Linked DNA regions of Saccharomyces cerevisiae S288C. The main gene of each other region encodes a partner of the protein of the gene in region 4 in a complex. Each region holds a gene or a part of one and is shown on either strand. Other genes may lie near its edges. The genes, in order: TOD6, SDS3, SIN3 and DEP1. A codon is read from its position in the direction of its gene.

Region 1 (4,975 bases), on a different chromosome or scaffold from region 4:
GATGATTTCAACTATATTATTAAAATCGATTCTTGGAACAGGATTGAAAATATTTACAAAACTTGGAGCTCAAAAAACTATCCTCGCGTCAAATATGACAAACTATTGTGGGAACCTATTATATTAGGGCCGTCATTTGGTATAAATGGGATGATGAACTTAGAACCCACCGCATTAGCGGACGAAGCTCTTACAAATGAAACTATGGCTCCGGTAATTTCGAATAACACACATATAGAAAACTATAACAACAGTAGAGCACATAATAAACGCAGAAGAAGAAGAAGAAGAAGTAGTGAGCACAAAACATCCAAGCTTCATGTAAACAATATCATAGAACCGGAAGTACCTGCTACTGATTTTTTTGAAGACACTGTTTCCTCCTTAACAGAGTATATGTGTGATTATAAGAACACAAATAATGATAGATTAATCTATCAAGCGGAAAAAAGAGTGCTGGAAAGCATCCATGATCGCAAAGGGATACCAAGATCAAAATTTAGTACAGAAACTCATTGGGAGCTCTGCTTCACTATTAAAAACTCCGAAACACCACTTGGAAATCATGCAGCTAGGAGAAACGATACTGGAATATCAAGTTTAGAGCAGGATGAAGTAGAAAACGATGTAGATACTGAATTATATGTAGGTGAAAACGCCAAAGAAGATGAAGACGAAGACGAAGACTTTACCCTTGATGATGACATTGAGGATGAGCAAATATCAGAAGAAAATGATGAGGAGGAAGACACATATGAAGAAGACAGTGATGATGATGAGGATGGGAAGAGAAAAGGACAAGAGCAGGATGAAAACGATATAGAAAGCCACATAAGGAAGGAGAGAGTCAGAAAAAGAAGAAAAATAACTCTAATAGAGGATGACGAAGAATAAGCGGCGATGGGTATATATTGGATATAAGCATATACATGTAACATTATTAATAGCAATAAGAACCCTTGTAGTCAATAGTATTACAGAATTCTCCTACGAATAAATTTTATGTGTATATATAAAGATATATATGTGTGTGTGTACATGTGTGGGTGCGATTAATTTGTACTCATTAAACGAATAGTCAAAACAAACTAAATTCGTCTCTTAGCTTAAAATATATTTTTAAAGATAGAATTTATACCTGGAAGTTCATCTTGCTCATTGCGTATGTCATTTGCGCTGGTCATAGAAGAAAGCTCACTAGACTTTGGATTATCATGTTTAGCCTCTAACATACCGTAATTTTGCGATTGCTGCGATGGCGTGTTAATGCCATTCTCCTTGTGCAGTGGGTCAATGTCATCCTCCTCCTCCTCGTCTTTGCATCCTTCATTTGTATGAAAACCACTTACACGTCCTTTTCTCTTTAAATAATCCATTCTTTGTTGGATTTCCAACTCGGATCTATTATTAGGCAGAACAATAGAAATTTCTAGCGGCGACAAATGGTTTTGTTTGTCCTTCGTATTGTTAAGTAGCACTTCATCATCTTCTCTAGACCACGGGTGTTTATTAGCGAATTTTTGCATATCTAAGAAAGTCCTCGTGTGCGTGATTTTGTCATTTGCGTGGTCTGTCTTGCAGTTGGGAGACGCTATGGGGTTAAGATAGTATTGGTGCTGTGGATGATAATGAACGGATTGCGATGTAGATAACCTTCTGGGTGACATATACGGGCTAACTACCAAGGAAGCTCTTCTAGAAATAGGCTCCGTAGGAGCGTGAGAGTTGAAGGATGATCTTCTTGAATGCATCATGTTAAAAGATGATCTTCTAGAAGAAATTACGGAATGCGAGTTTTTCCTAGTCTTCGTCGTTGAATGAGGGATTTGAGTTGAAGGAATAAAGGAGTTCCTTCTAGACCTGATAATAATTTTAGGCACAAGACCAATATTCTCATAATCATTGGAATTAACAGCTTTATTTGTCTTTGCTGAAGTAGTGTTATAAAGGCTTAGATTTGTCTGCTGAGCAGTCTTTACATTAGGCGTGTTGGTTGTTATAGAATGAGAGAAGGACCTTGGCTTAACAAACAGTTTCCTTGGTTTCGTGTGTTGTGGCTCATGGTCCGAAAATGTTGATGTAGATCTTTGAGTTATCAGTTTTCTGTCCATGTATTTAGGCTTAACTAATGGCTTGAAATCCGGTGGAGAATCCTCGATAGCACTAGAACCTGCAGTAATATCTTCATCCTCAACAGCTTCCTCTTTTACGGCTTCTTCCGCAGACGGAGTACCCGCGGATGGGGTAGCATCACCAGTCGCATACACGCCGAATAGCTTATTGATGTCAATAACTGCGGTCTTGTTAGACTTTAAGTTGCCTGATTTCAGTCTCCTCCATCTGAATTGACAAGCGTTAGGAGTTCTATTTGGGAAATGATGTGCAATCTCCTTCCAGCCCAAGTTCTTGATCTCTTTCAGGTGGCGGAGCTTGATATCATCACTAGGGTCCCAAGAAGAGGGGTTGTTTTTTTTGAGTGATTCCGCCTCCTCCTTGTTCGTGCTGTTCTCTTTAGTGCTAGTGCTACTGATAGGCAGGTGGCTCTTCGCATTTGTGTGAGAAAGTGAGTGGGAATGGACAAGATTATTTGGGTGAGGGTGTTTGCTTAGTATTGAGAAACCATGTGAGTTGGCACTAACATGTCCTGATGAAACAGAAACGCTACTGAGTTTCGGCAACGTCATCGCGAGGGAACTTCAATAAGAACAGTGATATATTCTTTTCTCTACCCACTGTCGTGTATATGCCTTCTTGAGTGAGTAGTTTTAATGACTCAAGCAGTGGAGATTTGCCAGATTTGTTTACCTGAAAACAAAATGATATGAAAAGCCTTTATTAATATCAACGTACAAAAACTATACACGACTTCTGTGTAAGGAAGTAGAAAAGTGTCTCATCGCATTGGTCTCGCATCTCATCGCATCGCATCTCATCTCAATTTTCAAATTTCAGCTCTCAGCAGAGAAAAAATTTTTTTTTCACCGGACCAAAAATAGCCTCTCTCACCCACAGATAACGTCGCACACTAACAAGATGATGAGACAAGATAGGCCAAACCGCTCAAAAAGGAACTCGAAGAAGAACGGAAGTGGAGTTTAACTTTAGAACCTAACTGCTACTAAGTGTTGATACGCTAGGCAAGACACCTGCGAAATCCCGCTGCGAAATACCTGCAAAGAGGTTGCTAAACAGCAGCCAGAAGACTTGCGCTAGTAACGTTCCTGAAAAGCTTTGCACTGCAGGCATTTCTGAGCCTTTTCCGGCCTTCTAGAAGGCTTAGCCCCTACTAACGCCGGGTTACTTAGAACAGCACTCTTCTAAGAACAATCTTTCCAGCATGCTGGAAGGGCCCAGTGGTGATGTCCTGGTAGCAATGGACAACTAAAGGTGGACACTTTCGCTGCCAAGGCATTTTTTTGAGGCGCCAGTACTGTTATAGTTATATGTGGGGCATCTTATTGAAATCCTCGAACAAAAGTTGTTCTAGGCTCTGGAAACCAATTTTGACACAATATTATAGCATGACATCAACTGCCACGGATTCTCCGCTGAAATACTATGATATTGGATTGAATCTGACAGATCCTATGTTTCACGGTATTTACAATGGTAAGCAGTACCATCCAGCAGATTATGTAAAATTATTAGAGCGTGCTGCTCAGAGGCACGTGAAAAATGCCCTTGTTACAGGATCATCCATAGCGGAGTCTCAAAGTGCCATTGAGTTGGTAAGCAGCGTCAAAGATCTTAGCCCGTTAAAGCTGTATCACACAATAGGTGTTCACCCATGTTGCGTTAACGAGTTTGCGGATGCTAGTCAAGGGGACAAGGCTAGCGCTTCTATTGATAACCCTTCCATGGATGAAGCATATAATGAGTCTCTATATGCTAAAGTTATTAGTAATCCATCTTTTGCACAGGGTAAACTGAAAGAGCTTTATGATTTGATGAATCAGCAAGCAAAACCTCATGATACAAGTTTCAGGTCAATTGGTGAGATCGGGTTGGACTACGACAGATTTCACTATAGTTCTAAAGAGATGCAAAAGGTTTTTTTTGAAGAGCAACTGAAAATAAGTTGTTTGAACGATAAACTCAGCAGCTATCCATTGTTTCTGCATATGAGAAGCGCATGTGACGATTTTGTTCAAATATTGGAAAGATTTATTGCCGGGTTCACTGATGAGAGGGATACCTTTCAGCTACAAAAGTTAGGTGCATCGTCGTCTAGCGGGTTTTACAAATTTCATCCAGATAGAAAACTAGTGGTCCATTCATTCACTGGTTCTGCGATAGATTTGCAGAAATTACTGAACTTATCACCCAACATCTTCATAGGAGTAAACGGTTGCTCGTTGAGAACCGAGGAAAATCTAGCTGTTGTAAAGCAAATACCAACAGAAAGGTTGTTATTAGAGACAGATGCTCCGTGGTGTGAGATTAAAAGAACGCATGCATCTTTCCAGTACTTAGCCAAATACCAGGAGGTTAGGGATTTCGAATACCCTGCATTCAAGTCCGTTAAGAAAAATAAGCTCGCTGACAAGTTGAATGCAGAAGAACTTTACATGGTCAAGGGCCGTAATGAGCCTTGTAATATGGAACAAGTAGCAATTGTCGTATCGGAAGTCAAGGACGTGGATCTGGCTACTTTGATAGATACCACGTGGAAGACGACCTGTAAGATATTTGGAGAGTAACATCTATTGGTGCAAAGAGCAAAGTTACATTATTTTTAGTAAGTACACTAATTATGCTTAAACTATTAATAGGAAAATTATGGTGCGCATATACATACAGTCGATATTGCTTTCATTTTTTTTTTTTTTTTTTTTCTATTTTTTTCATCAAAAAGGATTCAAAGGTTACCAACAAAATAAAAACAGAGTAAGGAAAAACAGATGTATCTATATGAATAGGATTTATAAATTCTGTTACAATTTATCATTCTCTCGTAATGATTTTTATGAATTTC
Region 2 (3,979 bases), on a different chromosome or scaffold from region 4:
ATATTTCTTGTTATGTTTGGCCATCTCGAAAAAGGGATCATACGAGATGTCACAAAAAAAGTCCACATCAGGTTCTATTCTCCAATACCATTCATACTTGGAAACTAATGGATGTTTATAAAAGATCCCGGAGTAAAATCGACACATCTTGTGATATGATTCCATATTACCATACATTATACCGCGATCGTTTTGGTCTTCTAATGAAGCCTTAAACTGCAATGAATTACGAACCTTAGCAGGAAACTCCCACATAATTTCATCAACAGTGCCAAACTCTACAGTGGCATTAGTTGCAGCTTGAATTTGGTCCTTAAAATGATCTGTAAAGGGGTCATCATTCAAGAAAACGTACGGATATTTGAACCACTTATTGAAATGGCCCTCTATACTTCTCATAGTTTTCAGTACGTCTTCTATTTCTTCGTTTCTCGTTAGCATAACGAAAGATGCGTTCATTTTGGAGTAAGCAGGATTTTGCAAGTACAGCTTTGTATCAGTGCAGCCCCGGAAAAATGGCTCGTCTTTGTCAGTCGAATAATCCTGTAAGGAATAAGGCAAATTATTTGGATCATGTACAATATCTTTTGCGAAAAATGGCCAGGTCCCCATACAGTAAAGTATGGCGAAGATACATCCTAAAAAGAGGAAACCATATCGTTTTTGTCGACACTTATCCAGCAAGAACCTTCTGACTTTTGGATTCAATCTTATAGCCATGCTAATTGCATCTAATTATGATGTATATTCTAGCCCTTCTTTGGTACAACTGTGCCTATAATCACAGATTGTTAGCCTGATGTATACAGTAAATTTTAGCCAATTTTTTTTTTTCGTTTTCCACTTGTATCCGAGAAAAGAAAGCAAAAACAAAAAGAGCTCACATTGAAATATAACCATCTAATGTAATATAATACAAAGTTAAAGTGGAAGGTTTGCAGCATAAAATAAATTAGTCAGACCTTAGTCTGAAAGGAGCCGGAGGCTGACCTGTTAATTCTCTGATCAAGGAAATATCCTCTGTGACCTCATCTGGTTTCAAAGACTGTAAAGGTGGAGCTGTTTTGGTGGAATATCGTTGAGCACCACGGTTTTTTTTCTTTTCATTCCCATTAGCATTGTCTTTGGGGTTCTTTTCGCCAAACAAAAATGCATATAGATCAGTACCTTCATTTATACCTTGTAGAAAATCTGAGTCAGAGTTCATGCCTGACTTGTAGGTTAGGTTGTTGAAATGGGGGAATTGCGACCCTTGTCTAGAACCATGGCCATTACTTCCAGAACCATTACCAGTTTGAAAATCAGATTCATCTTGATTGTTGTTGTTACCTCTCGTGTCTTTAGAAGCATTCCTTCTCCTTAGCGTTCTTCTATCGTTTCCAGCTCCCGTGTCAGTAGCACTTTCGTTTGCTGTATCTCTTCCATATTCGTTGGACGAAGAATCCCAACCACTTACTGTGTGACTTCTCGTGTTCTTCTGGTATTGCGGTCTGCTATAATTCATGGCATAGGAGTGCACATTGGCCACATCCATTAGTAACCTCTCCTCCTGTAATTTCTTTATTTTTTGCTCTATAGACGAATACAGTCTTTCTTTGCATAATTTAATGAGTTTCTCGTGTTCAGCCTTAGCCTTTTCAATATCTTCTTGAAATTCGATACCGGAACGAGAAACACGGTACTCTTCAAACAGGCGCAACCTGACTAACTCTAGATCTCTTTCTTCCTCCAAATCTCGTACTTGGCGGGCATATTGGCCATTATCACCTTGATGCAGAGAAGTTAAATCCGTTTGCAATGCTGTCAGTCTATCTTTATATTGATTATCTCTTTCTGAGTAAAAATTTTGATAAATCTTATTAACTTTAGATTCGATATTAAATCTTCTTTTGTCCTTGCGGGACAAGTCCTTGTTACTAACCTTTTGAATAGCCATCAATCTTGAAGACAATGCACACTGAGCTCTACAGTTTCTCTTGTTCTCTTAAAGCTTTTCCAAGGGTTCATTTTAGCTGAAAAATTGTTTGCGTTTTTTCTTCCTGAAATCTCAAGCGAAATGATCAATACATAAGCTAAATTAAATAATGAGAAAAAAGATACCTGAAAACATAATTAAGGCATAGAAGAAAAAGATTTGATAAAAGATAAATTTTCAGTTCAATAAAAAGGTTTACATACATCTAATTTTTTTTTTTGACGCAAATTTTTTTGATTACAGACAAGAGCTATGTTTTATTTCGTAGCTAGCTTAGTTTTCGAATGCGCCACCCATTTGTCATGGCGTGCGATGACTTCTGGGATTATCATCTCTTCAATGCTATGGTGTTTTTCATCCAAACGTACCCAATCTCCCTTTCTGTTTTCAGGGGATACGAAAATGACCTGTTTGTTTCTTGTCTGTAAAAGGTTTCCGATAACCAGTTGATGGTTGTATCTATCCAGGGCTTGTGTACATTTGTAAAGCAGCATGGATTCATCAGTTTCTAATTTGAACGAAACGATCATCGCTTGAGTGGCCCATGATTCCACTAATCTTCTCAAAAACTTAGGGACAGGGTCAAGATTCACAATCAGTTTACCATCAGGCGTAGTCCTAGTTGTACCTTCAGTGTCATTATTTGCTCCCATCTTACCGTTGTCTCCTGATTGAATCTTGTGCTGAGGTAGTCTTGAATATGGAACAAAAAAATCACTGACAGCAGCAGCTAAATAAAACAAGCAACCACTATTATTCAATAGCTTGGCTATACTTTTCAGTGACCATAAGTATTGGTTGACCGTGGTGAATGGTAGTAAAAGTAGTTTCTCCTCTTTCTCCATATACTTGTCATAAAGCTTTTTGTTCTTCAAAACATTCTCAGCAAATTCAGGTTTGATTTTACCTTCAGAATCAATGTAGTCCAAGAATAAAGTATTAATGCTATGGGAGAAGGACCTATTATACGGAGTTAATGAGAATTCCCTATGTAAGAAAATAACACTATATCCGTTCGCTAAGAACTGTTCAGCACTCGATGCACCACGAGTACCTGCAGAAAAATTATCGATAAAACGTACTGTATTGTTTTCCAATGGAACAGTAGTACCACCAGAGGTGATAAGAACTATTTTGTTCCTTTTCAGGGAATACTGCAAATCAATAAACTCTTTAGCGTCCTTAATCAATTCATCGATATAGGCAGGTTTAGGGTTAGTTTTGAAATATTGCTCTTCTTCAGTAGTGTAGGCAACGGGAAAGAGCTCTTCCTTGATTGTACGATCAATTGCATGACTTATTTCAGTAACAGACGTATGAATTTGAGGTCTGTTGAGCACGGGTAGAGGTGGCATTGCTATAGTATGAAGAAAAAAAGGAGTGTCTGCTGCTAATCTACACAGTTTATGACAACTAATAAAAGCGTTGTGTGCGTAATTGTCTTAGCCTCTTATACAGATGTCCTGTTGATGACAATGCCTTTAAAAAAAAAAAAAAAACGTTAACAATAGGTCACTCCTCCAGTTTTTGTCGTTTGGCGAATTCGGGTCATCGAATTCTTCCCTTGCCAATAAAGTTGGTGGAAAATACCCAAAACATCGCCTACATATCAAATCCGCAGATTTCAGGCACGCAATTTAGAGCCTACCATCTGTTCATAGTTAGGTTAGGCCATAGGTGGTCATCGTCGCCTCTACTTTCTTAGCATAATCAGGTTTTTTTCTTGATTTTTTTATCATAAATTGTAACTCCGATTTAAGTAGAAGTGAAAAAAAAAATACCCTGTTAATTGTCACAGCATCACTTCTTCCTGTTACTTTCAAAGCTGTAAAGTGTTAGCATCTTTGTGCAAGAAGTAATAAGAATTTAATTGTTAACAGGGTTTGTAGCACTGGTATACGTTTTTCCATATCATGGAACATGTTGTATCTCAAAATGAGATATGTCAGTATGACAATACGTCACCCTGAACGTTCATAAAACACATATGAAACAACCTTATAA
Region 3 (7,767 bases), on a different chromosome or scaffold from region 4:
GTTTCTGATTTCATTTATAGGCTATGGTGCACACTACTTTATTTTATCCAATTTCTTGTCAGTTCCGAAACAAATAACATTTGAGTTCTGTTTGTCAATGATATGGCTCTCCTATTACTTGGCCATCTGCACAAATCCAGGAAGGCCTTTGCCCAACTACAAACCACCCCCTGATATCTGGCGGAATTTCTGTAAGAAGTGCCAAAGTTATAAGCCAGAACGTTCACATCATTGTAAAACCTGCAATCAATGCGTCCTAATGATGGATCATCATTGTCCGTGGACGATGAATTGCGTCGGCTTTGCAAACTATCCGCATTTCCTTAGATTCTTATTTTGGATCATAGTGACGACTAGTGTTTTATTTTGCATACAAGCTAAGCGGATATATTTTATTTGGCAACAAAGGCACTTGCCTGGCTACTTCTTCAAAAAATCAGAACTGATTTTCTTAACAATATCGAGTCCTTTAAATTCTTTTGTCCTACTAACGATAACAATTCTTTTCCTACGATGTTTATTCAATCAAATCTTGAATGGAAGATCTCAAATTGAGTCGTGGGATATGGATCGGCTAGAATCTTTGTTCAACTCCGGAAGATTAACTCAGAAATTAATTGATAATACTTGGAGAATATATCCAGAGTCGAGGTCGTTTCAAAATAAAAAGGATGCTGAGGAACACTTGACAAAAAAAAGGCCACGTTTTGATGAACTTGTAAATTTCCCTTACGATTTTGATTTGTACACTAATGCATTACTGTACCTTGGTCCCATTCATTTATGGTTATGGCCATATGGTGTTCCTACGGGAGATGGGAACAATTTTCCAAAAAACGGTATTTCAAAATATGAGGCTAACTCCTCATTGGAAGACCACATCCTTTCACTTCCCTGGCCACCAGATGGAGGTAAAACAAACACCGTCTTCAATCATGGCAGCTCAACAATAGAGATGCGTAATGAAAGTGGCGAACAGCTAATAAGGACCAGACTTCCTCAAAATGGCAGACATGCTTCTCGTGAGAAGTGGTACAACGACTGGGGTGAATCACTAGACGATTTTGGAGTGGATGTTGATATGGAATAGAATACTCATTCATGGGAATATCAAGTATATGTATGTATAAACTGTCCCTTATAAATAGTGTCCTTTCGATTACATACTATGCTAATGACGTGTAAAAAGATTCATGCACCAGTGTATGAGTACACAAATATAACCACTGCATGTTATCACTTCTTCCTTTATGGAAAGATCGATGTGTCTTAAAAAGCTTCAAAAACACTTAGAATTTTAAAATTACAATGTTATATCGTTGACATTAATTAAAGGTACACATCAGAAGAAAGACCCTGTCGTACTAAAGATTTTTGTTCTAAATCTAGTTAAAACTACTTATTGAATCTTAGCCCCCTTGTCTGAAGATTCAGTATTCCCAGTCGTTTCTATATTATCATCTTGTGGTACAGTAGTAATGGATGCAGGCAGTACACTTGCAGTAGAGCTGTCCAAATTATCCGACTGCTCCTGTTTCGTAATTTTACCTTTTTCGGTTTCACTCTCTATTCCCTGGTTTCCAGCACTCGTCTTTGCTATGCTGTCTTTTAGGTTCTCCCATTTTTTTTGCATACTTAATTTTTGAGCCTCATCTAAATTATTTCTCAAACCAACTGCACAGTCTAGAAATTTTGATATCAACTCCTTCTTCTGAGAAACCATTCCTTTTTGAGTATTATCATTAGCAATAGTAGGATATTTGTTAGTAGCCTTACGGGTAAAAACATCGTAAGACCCGTTTTCAATATGCAGTTGGTAGGTTATAGGCTGGATCTTAATTTTCAATGTCGATACAGAGATGCCTTCGGGGGAAAACTCCTCATCTACCTCTGTTCCATCAATATCTTGTCCAAATTCGATGAGCCTTTCCAAAAATGGTATCTTCAGTTTCTCGTGCGGAATGCCTTCTGTTGGATGTGGCAGAGCATACGATGTTACATAATATTTCCATTTATCTTCGTCTGCCTTTGGTTCCTTTAGTGTCAAATCATCAAGTGCAATATATTGAATGGAAACATGCAGAGTTCTTTTATCAAACTCTATTCTAAACATATTTTCTGTGTTGGACATATGTGAGCGCACCTGCAAGCGATAGATAATTTGGTCCTTCGCACTCGTGGTGGAGGCATTTCTATCTTTAACGAACAAAGCCATTATTTCCGCAGTTTTAGCGTCAGTCATCAAGGTATGAGCATGCTTTACCAACGATTGGGTGACTTTATCAATTGTATAGAGTTTAAACGCTTTGTTATTGTAAGCTTGCCGCAAACTCTCTTCAAACCACTGATGTTCAAGATCCCCATTAATCAACCTTCTACTCAGTCTTAAAACCTGTTTGTACGCGTCTTCACCAACAAAATCTAGTCCCATTTCGGAAAGTTGACTCGATAATAAATCTAGATCTTTGGCAAAAGTAACTGTCGACCTTGTGTTGATTTCCTTTGTGACCCTTTCATTCATTTGCTTAATTTCCAAAAGCCGCTCATAAATCGTTGTCCAATGACGGAAAAATATGTAAATATTCGTATTAGCGAATAGATTAAAAATACTGCGATTTTGGATAATACCCTGAGAGTTTGCTTCCTCCACTAAATTCCCAGTTAGCCACGGATTTTTAGCTTCTTCATCGATGAGCTCTTCCTCCTCAATGGTATTAGGTTCTTCTTCGGGTGGTTCAGAGAGCTGGGGAACTTTGCCATCTTCATCATTAGAACGCTTTAGCTTTTGATATCTGCTCCTGTGTAAAATATCAAGTAAACTCATTTCTTGTTGATAGGGCCTCTTCCTTGATGCAATAGAACTGCCATCGTCAGATCCGCTAGATTCTGACACGTTTTGCTTATGGGAGTACAACGATTCTTCGATTTTTTCGAAAGAAATAGAAAAAAACAAAGAGATGAAGTATTTTAGTAAATCTTTCAATCTTTCTTTATCGGGATTAGAATAGGCTGTGGTATGGGTTATAAAAGTGTCAGCCAAACACAAGATATCATAGAAAATGTTTTTATCAGGGAAATCAAAATCTAACTGGCTCTTTGGTTTAGGAGTTAACCAGTGAATTTTTTTGTTTGTTTGATCAACTTTGATGCTGCTAATCTCTGATATCAACTGCTTTGTAGTTAATAATTTCTTGTCAGCCTGTTTAAATGTTAAGCCTAAATGATCTAATGACTTGAAAAAAACCTTCTGTTCTAACTCCCTCCAAACTTTATTCCATTCACGTTGAGCTCTTCTCCATTCTTCGTCTTTTTGCTTTAACCTTTTCAGAACGACTGGGGCTGTCACTGCAGGGTGCTCATGCAAAGCATCAATAATCTCGAACCCCCTTTCCTTATCATAAACTTTCCTTATCACTTTTTTATAAATAGTCATTGAAGTATGGCCAAGACCTGGAGGCAGTTTAAAATTGGCTTTTTCATTCTCAGTCATGTTCTCGATCTTATTTACAATTGTTTCCAAACATTGAATAGTTCTTAAATTTGATTCAATGTAAAAATCATACTCATGTCTTTCCTCTTCGATCTTGAATAGTGTTTCCTCATACTGGTTTTTACGATGAGCAATAAATCCCGAATCTTCGGAAGCCCATACAGGATGTCCAACCCATTCATCGTTCAAGACTTCCCAACACATATCATCCCTACCTGAGCATGGCATGAAAGTGTCACTTTTTGGTAGCCTCTTGTAACTTGGGCCAAATGCCTCACATAAATCTAAATCCAATCTATGTTTTTCATGAACAATATTCTCGATACATTTGGTTTTTTCTTGGTAGCCAACAAAGTTTTTGAACCACGTAAATAGTTCTTTATTGGAACCCAAGTAGAAATCTACCTTTTCCACTAAATCGTCAAGATCAAGTATATCTTGAGAGTACAAATTTAAAATTTTCAAAAACTCAGTGTATAAATGTTTATTGCCGATATACCTCTTGGCCTTTTCGAAGAAAGTGACTTCCTCATTAAGCGATATATTGTTTTCGATGGGCTCAGTGGGTTCAGGGACCACAGGCACAATGCTAGGATCTAAATCAATTTCCGGTCTAACAGGGATATCACCATACTGCGTATTTGCTATAGGACTAATACTTTGCGGGTGCTGCTGCTGATGTTGTATACTAGAAGGAGCGTACTGTTCAGTGAGAGACGTTCTTAGATCTGATAGAGGTGGATTTTCATTCGCTATCCCTTGATGTACCATATTTGGCCCGTGTTGAACGATCGATGGTAAGGGCATGAAGTGGGGTGGTTGCATGTGCTGTTGATCCTGATAGGCTTCATGTACGGTCGAACCGTTTGTTGGAGGCGAGAAGCTTCCTATAGGAGGCAAGTTTTGCTGTGGAATACCTCGGTTAGAAGGATGGCCGTAATAGCCCGAAGCTGGATACAAGAATTGCTGTTGCTGCTTCTGTTGTTCCACCTGTGCCTGTGCCTGAGCCTGAGCTTGTGCCTGTGCATGCATTTGGGCCTCATGTTGTTGTTGAGCATGTTGCTGAGCATGTTGCACCTGCTGATTGGCAGAAGCTGAAGAGTCCGGCAAGAATTTCTTGAAATCTTCTAGTAAATCAGGAGCATTTTGGAAAAGATGCGTCACTTGTGCGTAGACTTCGTTTATTGGCTTTTGCTCTCGCTGATAAGTTTGTAGTATTTCCAGAAAATGCTTGTAAATATCAGGTTGGTCGGCAAATCTAGTTTTAATTTTATTAACGTAGCTTATGGCTTGACTAAATTCGACATCAACGTTTTTCTTAGCATCTTCTTGAGGCACTAAAGATTGACTTTGTGGGATTTGGCGATGTGCAGGCATTTCAGGTTGTTGAATTGAAGGTAAACCAGAAGAAGTAGCTAAAAGAGGCAAAGATTGTTGTTGGTCTTGGTTTTGTTCCGATTGATACACACTCGAAGGCACCATTGGCACATTGGAGGGCTGTTGAACACCATTTCCATCGCTTTCTGGAAAAGAACCAAGTTCCTGTGCATCCGTTGTACCTCTACCAGATGGACTGATGTTATTGTTTACTGTCGTAGTACCCATTGGTGTAGTAACTCTAATGGGGTCGTCCGGATTAGAGGAGCATTCGATTCTATAGCCTTGGGGTAGAAAAGTATTGAACCCTTGAATCAAAATTGGATAACCTCTGAACAAAGTGGATACTCTTTCAATAACGCCCGGTGTGTCTATTGCCTGAGATTTAAAGTCCTTCATAATATCTAAAAATAAATTATAGATATCCGGACGCGAACTAAATTGAAATTTGACCTGTTCGAGGTAAGATAGGGCATCCTTCACGTTTAGAGGTCTGTAGTCAGCATCTTCATCGTGAGAATTTTCGTTGTTATTATTGTCATCGTTAGCATCTGCATGGTTGCTGCTAGGGTCAGGGGCATCAGCAGGCTGCACACCAGCGGGAACTTCCTTGCAATCTTGAGGCCGTTGCGTCGCCTTTTCTTCTTCCTGAAGACCATTATAACTTTTTGGTTCCTCTGTATGAACAGGAGCTTTTATCGGTAATGGATTGTCAAATCTCGACAAAGAAAAACTGGCGGCTCCCACTGTGGGGAGGGGAGCTGGACCAGCATTCATAAGCGAAGCGTTTATAGAGGGAGAAGAGGACGAAGATTTAGGGCGAGGGTGATACTCGTGGGGCTGTTTCAATGCTGAATCAGTTGCAATTGAGGGCATAGCATTTGAATGTGGGGGAGGATAACCTAATATGTGAGCAGCATGAGAAGTTAGAGCCTGTTGGCCATTGGAATCTCTTCTATCTTCCTCCTTAGTACTCAAGGCAGATAGCGAGGGTAAAGTAATCCGTTGCTGCTGTTGAACAAAACCGGGCTTATTTCCCTGGAGGGACGGTTCTTTTTCGTTTCTTTCGTTGGAACCCGTAGCGTCATTTGAAGTAGCCACATCGTTTGATTGCGAATTCGAATTATGCCAAACCTGTGACATTTTTGTACAATGTATAACTTGTTTCTTAGATATTTTGTCCTTTTCCAAATAACCTCAAACGAACACAACAAAAGGGTAAAGAGACTATACTGAAAGCGGTCAATAGCGTAGCCTGTTGTGGAGGGAGGGAAGTAACAAAGAATATGTGGTACGTGAATGAGCTGATTAGTTAGGTACGGTGCCTCGAATATTAGCAATGCTGGTGCGAAAAAGGGAAGACAAATGTAATAGGGAAGGGGAGTAACCGTTGTTTTGCAAATCACGTTTGCTGAAGAACTGCAAAATGAAGGCGACTTTTTTGCGAATGGAAAAAAATCACTAGAAAATCCGATATCATTACCCGTACTGGTTTATTCTACGTTACACGGGTAACCCCGCAGTGTGTGCCACACTCTGGGCAGCGCGTAACAACAGTAGTTACAAGACTGGAGTAGAAGATAGATTTTTTAAATTATAAACAGAATTTACAGACTACTGGAGAGGGATCACGGTAAGCCTCGTCGGTAAGCCTCGTCGGTAAGCCTCGTCGGTAGATCCGTGTCATGTCATGGATAATGCTGCTATCCGAGTTCAAAAAACTTGCAAGCTCAATATTATCATTACCCGGACTTAATAAAGTGGAAGTGTCCGCGAAAATTCTAGGTTCACTGCTTTGGCACACACAAGAGGTCCGTTAAAAGAAGAGCGAGAGAACTGAGCCGTGCAGCCTAAATAGATAGCTACGTAGCCACCAAACCAGATACATTTGGACACAACTGCATCATGAATGCTCCAGACAGATTCGAACTGTTCCTTCTGGGTGAAGGGGAATCCAAGCTAAAGATTGACCCCGACACCAAAGCCCCCAACGCAGTAGTGATAACGTTTGAGAAGGAGGACCACACGTTGGGAAACCTGATTCGTGCAGAACTTCTGAACGACAGAAAAGTGCTGTTTGCCGCTTACAAGGTTGAGCATCCCTTCTTCGCTCGTTTCAAGCTGAGAATACAGACCACCGAGGGCTACGACCCGAAGGATGCCTTGAAAAACGCCTGTAACAGCATCATTAACAAGCTTGGCGCCCTGAAGACAAATTTCGAAACCGAGTGGAACCTGCAAACTCTAGCCGCCGACGACGCATTTTGATATATAGGAGTTTAATACTATAGCCATAAAATCTAAACAGAATGGAAACGGACATACACATAATATACGCTCATATATATTTATACATAACTTCAATGTCTTGAACACGTAAATTTTAGTGTGAGAAACCTTTTTCACTCCGGGTAATACCTGCTGTAGTCTTCAAAAAAAAAAAAAAAAAAGAAAAAAAACCAGCCATGGAAAGCTCTTTATTTTTTTACTTTACGGCTTTTTTCCCTTTTCTTATATGATCGATGCACGTAAAGAACAACTGTATTTTTTTGTTTCAACACTAACACGAGCGCAATATTCTTTTTTGTTTTCTCTGTTACTCTAATTACCTGAGTCCTATTCTTATAGTATTAAAACAGCAAATAAAAAAAATCTAAAGGGAGGGCAGAGCTCGAAACTTGAAACGCGTAAAAATGACTATTGCTGATGCTTCCAAAGTTAATCATGAGTTGTCTTCTGATGACGATGACGATGTGCCATTATCTCAAACTTTAAAAAAAAGAAAGGTGGCGTCCATGAACTCTGCCTCTCTTCAAGACGAAGCGGAACCTTATGATAGTGATGAGGCAATCTCTAAGATTTCCAAGAAAAAGACTAAGAAAATAAAGACCGAACCAGTG
Region 4 (4,124 bases):
TGCTTTCTTTTCTTTTCTTTTTTTTTTTTTTTACCACACTTAGTCCTCTACTTTAACAGAAATATCATTTTCCAGTTTGACCATAGTTTCTTCAACTGTTTTCTCCTCGTGTTTAACATTGATTTCCGCCTCCACGTTCAGTTCACGTTTTCCTTCCAGGTATTTCACCCACTTTGGATAACTCATGATATTTTGCTGGATTTCCTTGTACAATTGAGACTGCAAATCCCAATCTAAGGAGCTTCTGGGATCATCCGGTGGCAAGAATTGTAACATGTCACCAAGGTTCCTCGATTTAGTGATTATTTGTCCAAATCCAACCAGCAACCCATTTATTTCTGTCCAAAGCCCCTTAGGCAGCCAATTTTGTAATTGAGTTCTTGTCTGATCTGGAGTCTTGCATTTCTGCGCATCTACCCATTTCCAAAGCTTGGTCAATCTATCCACGTGAACGTCAACGCAGATACCTTCAATCTTGCCCCATGCCTTTTGTAATGTTAGATAAGCCATTTTGGGCCCTACACCGGGCAGGCCCAATAGCTCATTAATCGTAGCTGGAACATCACTCGAAAACTGATCTTGAAGGATTTTGCAGGTTGACAAAATATACTTGGCCTTCCTTGTGTGGAACCCAACTGAATGAATCAATTCGTCTAATTTGGTCTCATTGATTTGTAAAACGGCCTCTAATGTCATACCTTCTTCGCTGTGCAGTTCGTCTATACAATACCGCATTATGTTAAGCATTGCCATTGCGGTAACTTCATCTTTTGTTTGCGATGATAGCATCACCCCAAGAAGGACCTGTAATCTGTAGTCCCTCGGTGATATCTGCTCTTTCGAGATACCACACTTAGAGGCAACCGTTACAGGAATGGATGATCCACCAATTATATCGACGGGGGCTAGAATCTTAGATCTCAGTACTCGCATTCTAGCGTATGTTTCTTGAAACTTGTAAGGGACTTTCGTCGAGGCCGGAGTGACAAGGATCGAGGGGTCCAATGGTGTGGCCCACCTGTTGGGCACATTGCCGTTTCTAACCACAATCCATTCGAAGTACTGCTTATTTGGCAGCGATTTAACCCAGTCGATATCCACGGGTTGAGGGACAACCTCTTCTTGTTTGATTTTGGTCCTTTTCTCCGGTAGGAGTTCTGATTCTGGCCCAGTTTCAGTCTTTACCAGCGGTCTTTTCCTCAGAATTGCCATAGATGAGTATTTACTGATCTTTTGCATATTTTTTTTTTTTTTGGGCTATAAAGTATATATAGATACAAATATATGATGAATCATTAAAGAGGAGGTTATTACTAAGTGAAAGAAAAAGAAAAAAAAAAAGATCAAAACCAAACTTCGTATTCGAGCCTAAAAAACAGAATATAATGTTATAATACTAATAGAAGCAACAGGAGCACCACTATCAGCACAAGAATAATCACGCAGTTGCCGTTATCCTTGAACCTAGAATTGTTAAAGCCATGCATGGACCGAGAGGCCCTGTTCAAATTCCTACCATTATTATCAATCAGGTTTTCTAAATCAACCAGCAGCGAGTCGTTCTGAGAAACGATCTCATTATTAAGGTCCAGCGAAATGTCATGAGTCCTCCCAATAGACTGAGACAGTGCGCCCAAGTGGGAATCTTGCTCTAACAACTGCTGTTGCTGGTTAATAAATAGTTCTTGGTTGGAAACCATGGGTTGTGGTGGCTGTGGCTGTGACTGTGACTGTAACTGCGATTGCAATGGTTCATCCTTGTATGGAGTATGCGTCGAAGGCAGCGGCGACTCCTCGTCTTGTTCATCGTCATCCTTATACATGACCGTAAGCTCGTCATCATTCTTGAACCGCACTTTTTTCAAAGACTCTTTGGACACCTCATCAGTATTTCTTGCCACCTGCTGTTGGAACCTATACAACTCCTTGTCAACCGCCGTATCAGGAATTTTGTCCAGTATGGTATTGTATCGGGATATTAGTTCATCATTGGGCGCACACTTCTGCAATAACTCCAATATTGAGCCCAATTGCCGTTTCAAAGTAACGTTATCGTTTGAGGTCGGGGCGAGCTTCAACACCGACACTAGCCTTGTTCTTTCTTCGACCAGATCAGAGAGCTGGTCCAGTTCATAACCCAGCTTCAACACATCCATACCGTGTGTGCTTACGCATCTATTTGCTGTCGTGAGATCTGTCTCTATGCTTTATTCGTTTTCCATTGTAAAGTCTCAGCATTTATTTCTTGTTCTTTACTTGTTTTTGCCCTTTCGGGTGATCAAAGTCGTGCTGGGAAATTTTATTCTTATAAAATGATTTTTAGAAATAATAAACTCATAACAGTGCAACGGCAAAGTACAAGGGAAGGAAGCACAGAAGCAAGAGGAGGCGCATCGATCGTGGCAGATGAGTCAGCAAACACCACAGGAAAGTGAACAGACCACAGCGAAAGAACAGGACCTTGATCAAGAGAGCGTGTTGAGCAACATTGACTTCAATACGGATTTGAATCACAATTTGAATTTATCGGAATACTGTATATCCAGTGACGCAGGAACAGAGAAGATGGATAGCGACGAGGAGAAGTCGTTGGCCAATCTGCCGGAGTTGAAATACGCTCCCAAGCTATCCAGCCTGGTGAAGCAAGAGACGCTCACCGAGAGCTTGAAAAGACCACACGAAGATGAGAAAGAGGCGATAGATGAGGCCAAGAAGATGAAAGTGCCGGGAGAGAACGAGGACGAAAGCAAGGAAGAGGAAAAGAGTCAAGAACTGGAAGAGGCAATTGACAGCAAGGAGAAGAGCACCGACGCCAGGGACGAGCAAGGGGACGAAGGTGATAATGAGGAGGAAAACAACGAGGAGGATAATGAAAACGAAAACGAGCATACAGCACCGCCTGCGCTGGTGATGCCCTCCCCCATCGAAATGGAGGAACAGAGGATGACTGCGCTGAAGGAAATCACCGACATCGAGTACAAGTTCGCGCAATTGCGCCAAAAACTATATGACAATCAATTGGTGCGGTTGCAAACGGAGCTGCAGATGTGTCTGGAAGGGTCACACCCGGAATTGCAGGTCTACTACTCGAAGATTGCCGCGATCCGTGACTACAAGCTACACCGAGCGTACCAGCGACAGAAGTACGAGCTTTCATGCATCAACACAGAAACAATCGCTACCAGGACATTCATTCACCAGGACTTCCACAAGAAGGTCACCGACCTGCGAGCCAGGCTGCTGAACAGAACCACGCAGACCTGGTACGATATCAACAAGGAGCGCCGCGATATGGATATAGTCATCCCAGATGTCAATTACCACGTCCCCATCAAACTTGATAACAAGACGCTGAGCTGTATCACGGGCTACGCCAGCGCAGCACAGCTGTGCTATCCCGGCGAGCCCGTGGCAGAGGACCTCGCTTGCGAAAGCATCGAGTACCGCTACAGAGCCAACCCGGTGGACAAACTCGAAGTCATTGTGGACCGAATGAGGCTCAATAACGAGATTAGCGACCTCGAAGGCCTGCGCAAATATTTCCACTCCTTCCCGGGTGCTCCTGAGTTGAACCCGCTTAGAGACTCCGAAATCAACGACGACTTCCACCAGTGGGCCCAGTGACCGCCACACTGGACCCCATACCACTTCTTTTTGTTATTCTTAAATATGTTGTAACGCTATGTAATTCCACCCTTCATTACTAATAATTAGCCATTCACGTGATCTCAGCCAGTTGTGGCGCCACACTTTTTTTTCCATAAAAATCCTCGAGGAAAAGAAAAGAAAAAAATATTTCAGTTATTTAAAGCATAAGATGCCAGGTAGATGGAACTTGTGCCGTGCCAGATTGAATTTTGAAAGTACAATTGAGGCCTATACACATAGACATTTGCACCTTATACATATACACACAAGACAAAACCAAAAAAAATATGACTCTACAAGAATCTGATAAATTTGCTACCAAGGCCATTCATGCCGGTGAACATGTGGACGTTCACGGTTCCGTGATCGAACCCATTTCTTTGTCCACCACTTTCAAACAATCTTCTCCAGCTAACCCTATCGGTACTTACGAATACTCCAGATCTCAAAATCCTAACAGAGAGAACTTGGAAAGA

Evidence for each region.
Region 1: DEP1 (region 4) and TOD6 share a complex: the UniProt entries of both Saccharomyces cerevisiae proteins name them as parts of the RPD3C(L) complex.
Region 2: the proteins of DEP1 (region 4) and SDS3 are in contact, whole or in part, in a cryo-EM structure (PDB 8HPO), measured with the Saccharomyces cerevisiae proteins. Residues at the interface, in NP_009389.3 of Saccharomyces cerevisiae: Arg197 (codon at 2,995), Gln198 (codon at 2,998), Tyr201 (codon at 3,007), Gln204 (codon at 3,016), Leu205 (codon at 3,019), Leu208 (codon at 3,028), Gln209 (codon at 3,031), Leu212 (codon at 3,040), Cys215 (codon at 3,049), Leu216 (codon at 3,052), His220 (codon at 3,064), Glu222 (codon at 3,070), Tyr226 (codon at 3,082), Tyr227 (codon at 3,085), Ile230 (codon at 3,094), Ala231 (codon at 3,097), Arg234 (codon at 3,106), Lys237 (codon at 3,115), Leu238 (codon at 3,118), Ala241 (codon at 3,127), Tyr242 (codon at 3,130), Arg244 (codon at 3,136), Gln245 (codon at 3,139), Glu248 (codon at 3,148), Leu249 (codon at 3,151), Cys251 (codon at 3,157), Ile252 (codon at 3,160), Glu255 (codon at 3,169), Thr256 (codon at 3,172), Thr259 (codon at 3,181); in NP_012182.1 of Saccharomyces cerevisiae: Phe32 (codon at 1,843), Tyr33 (codon at 1,840), Arg36 (codon at 1,831), Asp37 (codon at 1,828), Tyr40 (codon at 1,819), Leu44 (codon at 1,807), Leu47 (codon at 1,798), Asp50 (codon at 1,789), Leu51 (codon at 1,786), Leu54 (codon at 1,777), His55 (codon at 1,774), Gln56 (codon at 1,771), Gly57 (codon at 1,768), Gln61 (codon at 1,756), Tyr62 (codon at 1,753), Gln65 (codon at 1,744), Val66 (codon at 1,741), Leu69 (codon at 1,732), Glu70 (codon at 1,729), Arg73 (codon at 1,720), Glu76 (codon at 1,711), Leu77 (codon at 1,708), Leu80 (codon at 1,699), Glu84 (codon at 1,687), Arg87 (codon at 1,678), Val88 (codon at 1,675), Ser91 (codon at 1,666), Gly92 (codon at 1,663), Glu94 (codon at 1,657), Phe95 (codon at 1,654).
Region 3: the proteins of DEP1 (region 4) and SIN3 are in contact, whole or in part, in a cryo-EM structure (PDB 8HPO), measured with the Saccharomyces cerevisiae proteins. Residues at the interface, in NP_009389.3 of Saccharomyces cerevisiae: Asp297 (codon at 3,295), Val299 (codon at 3,301), Ile300 (codon at 3,304), Pro301 (codon at 3,307), Asp302 (codon at 3,310), Val303 (codon at 3,313), Asn304 (codon at 3,316), Tyr305 (codon at 3,319), Tyr322 (codon at 3,370), Leu356 (codon at 3,472), Ile359 (codon at 3,481), Arg362 (codon at 3,490), Met363 (codon at 3,493), Asn366 (codon at 3,502), Asn367 (codon at 3,505), Ile369 (codon at 3,511), Ser370 (codon at 3,514), Leu372 (codon at 3,520), Glu373 (codon at 3,523), Gly374 (codon at 3,526), Lys377 (codon at 3,535), Tyr378 (codon at 3,538), Phe379 (codon at 3,541), Phe382 (codon at 3,550), Pro383 (codon at 3,553), Gly384 (codon at 3,556), Ala385 (codon at 3,559), Pro386 (codon at 3,562), Leu388 (codon at 3,568), Asn389 (codon at 3,571); in NP_014639.1 of Saccharomyces cerevisiae: Pro643 (codon at 4,084), Ser644 (codon at 4,081), Val648 (codon at 4,069), Val649 (codon at 4,066), Pro650 (codon at 4,063), Glu651 (codon at 4,060), Pro652 (codon at 4,057), Thr653 (codon at 4,054), Glu654 (codon at 4,051), Pro655 (codon at 4,048), Ile656 (codon at 4,045), Glu813 (codon at 3,574), Tyr817 (codon at 3,562), Tyr820 (codon at 3,553), Val835 (codon at 3,508), Asn836 (codon at 3,505), Glu839 (codon at 3,496), Lys869 (codon at 3,406), Val870 (codon at 3,403), Tyr871 (codon at 3,400), Asp872 (codon at 3,397), Arg875 (codon at 3,388), Glu878 (codon at 3,379), Ile879 (codon at 3,376), Glu885 (codon at 3,358), His886 (codon at 3,355), Thr890 (codon at 3,343), Pro892 (codon at 3,337), Val893 (codon at 3,334), Leu895 (codon at 3,328).

Annotation. Positions count from the first base shown.
Region 1 is NC_001134.8:115,298-120,272, reverse strand, and holds TOD6 (Tod6p), read right to left. Parts: upstream 2,685-4,975; coding exon 1,107-2,684; downstream 1-1,106. Other genes in the region: SAS3 (histone acetyltransferase), read left to right, coding at 1-894; YBL055C (3'-5'-exodeoxyribonuclease), read left to right, coding at 3,444-4,700. UniProt on the Saccharomyces cerevisiae protein: Component of the RPD3 histone deacetylase complex RPD3C(L) responsible for the deacetylation of lysine residues on the N-terminal part of the core histones (H2A, H2B, H3 and H4).
Region 2 is NC_001141.2:201,324-205,302, forward strand, and holds SDS3 (Sds3p), read right to left. Parts: upstream 1,937-3,979; coding exon 953-1,936; downstream 1-952. Other genes in the region: KTR7 (putative mannosyltransferase), read right to left, coding at 1-720; phosphopantothenate--cysteine ligase CAB2, read right to left, coding at 2,233-3,330. UniProt on the Saccharomyces cerevisiae protein: Component of the RPD3C(L) histone deacetylase complex (HDAC) responsible for the deacetylation of lysine residues on the N-terminal part of the core histones (H2A, H2B, H3 and H4).
Region 3 is NC_001147.6:315,181-322,947, reverse strand, and holds SIN3 (transcriptional regulator SIN3), read right to left. Parts: upstream 6,011-7,767; coding exon 1,400-6,010; downstream 1-1,399. Other genes in the region: palmitoyltransferase PFA4, read left to right, coding at 1-1,090; DNA-directed RNA polymerase II core subunit RPB11, read left to right, coding at 6,773-7,135; TOP1 (DNA topoisomerase 1), read left to right, coding at 7,561-7,767. UniProt on the Saccharomyces cerevisiae protein: Catalytic component of the RPD3 histone deacetylase complexes RPD3C(L) and RPD3C(S) responsible for the deacetylation of lysine residues on the N-terminal part of the core histones (H2A, H2B, H3 and H4).
Region 4 is NC_001133.9:126,864-130,987, forward strand, and holds DEP1 (Rpd3L histone deacetylase complex subunit DEP1), read left to right. Parts: upstream 1-2,406; coding exon 2,407-3,624; downstream 3,625-4,124. Other genes in the region: bifunctional N-glycosylase/AP lyase NTG1, read right to left, coding at 40-1,239; SYN8 (syntaxin), read right to left, coding at 1,389-2,156; cystathionine gamma-lyase CYS3, read left to right, coding at 3,936-4,124. UniProt on the Saccharomyces cerevisiae protein: Component of the RPD3C(L) histone deacetylase complex (HDAC) responsible for the deacetylation of lysine residues on the N-terminal part of the core histones (H2A, H2B, H3 and H4).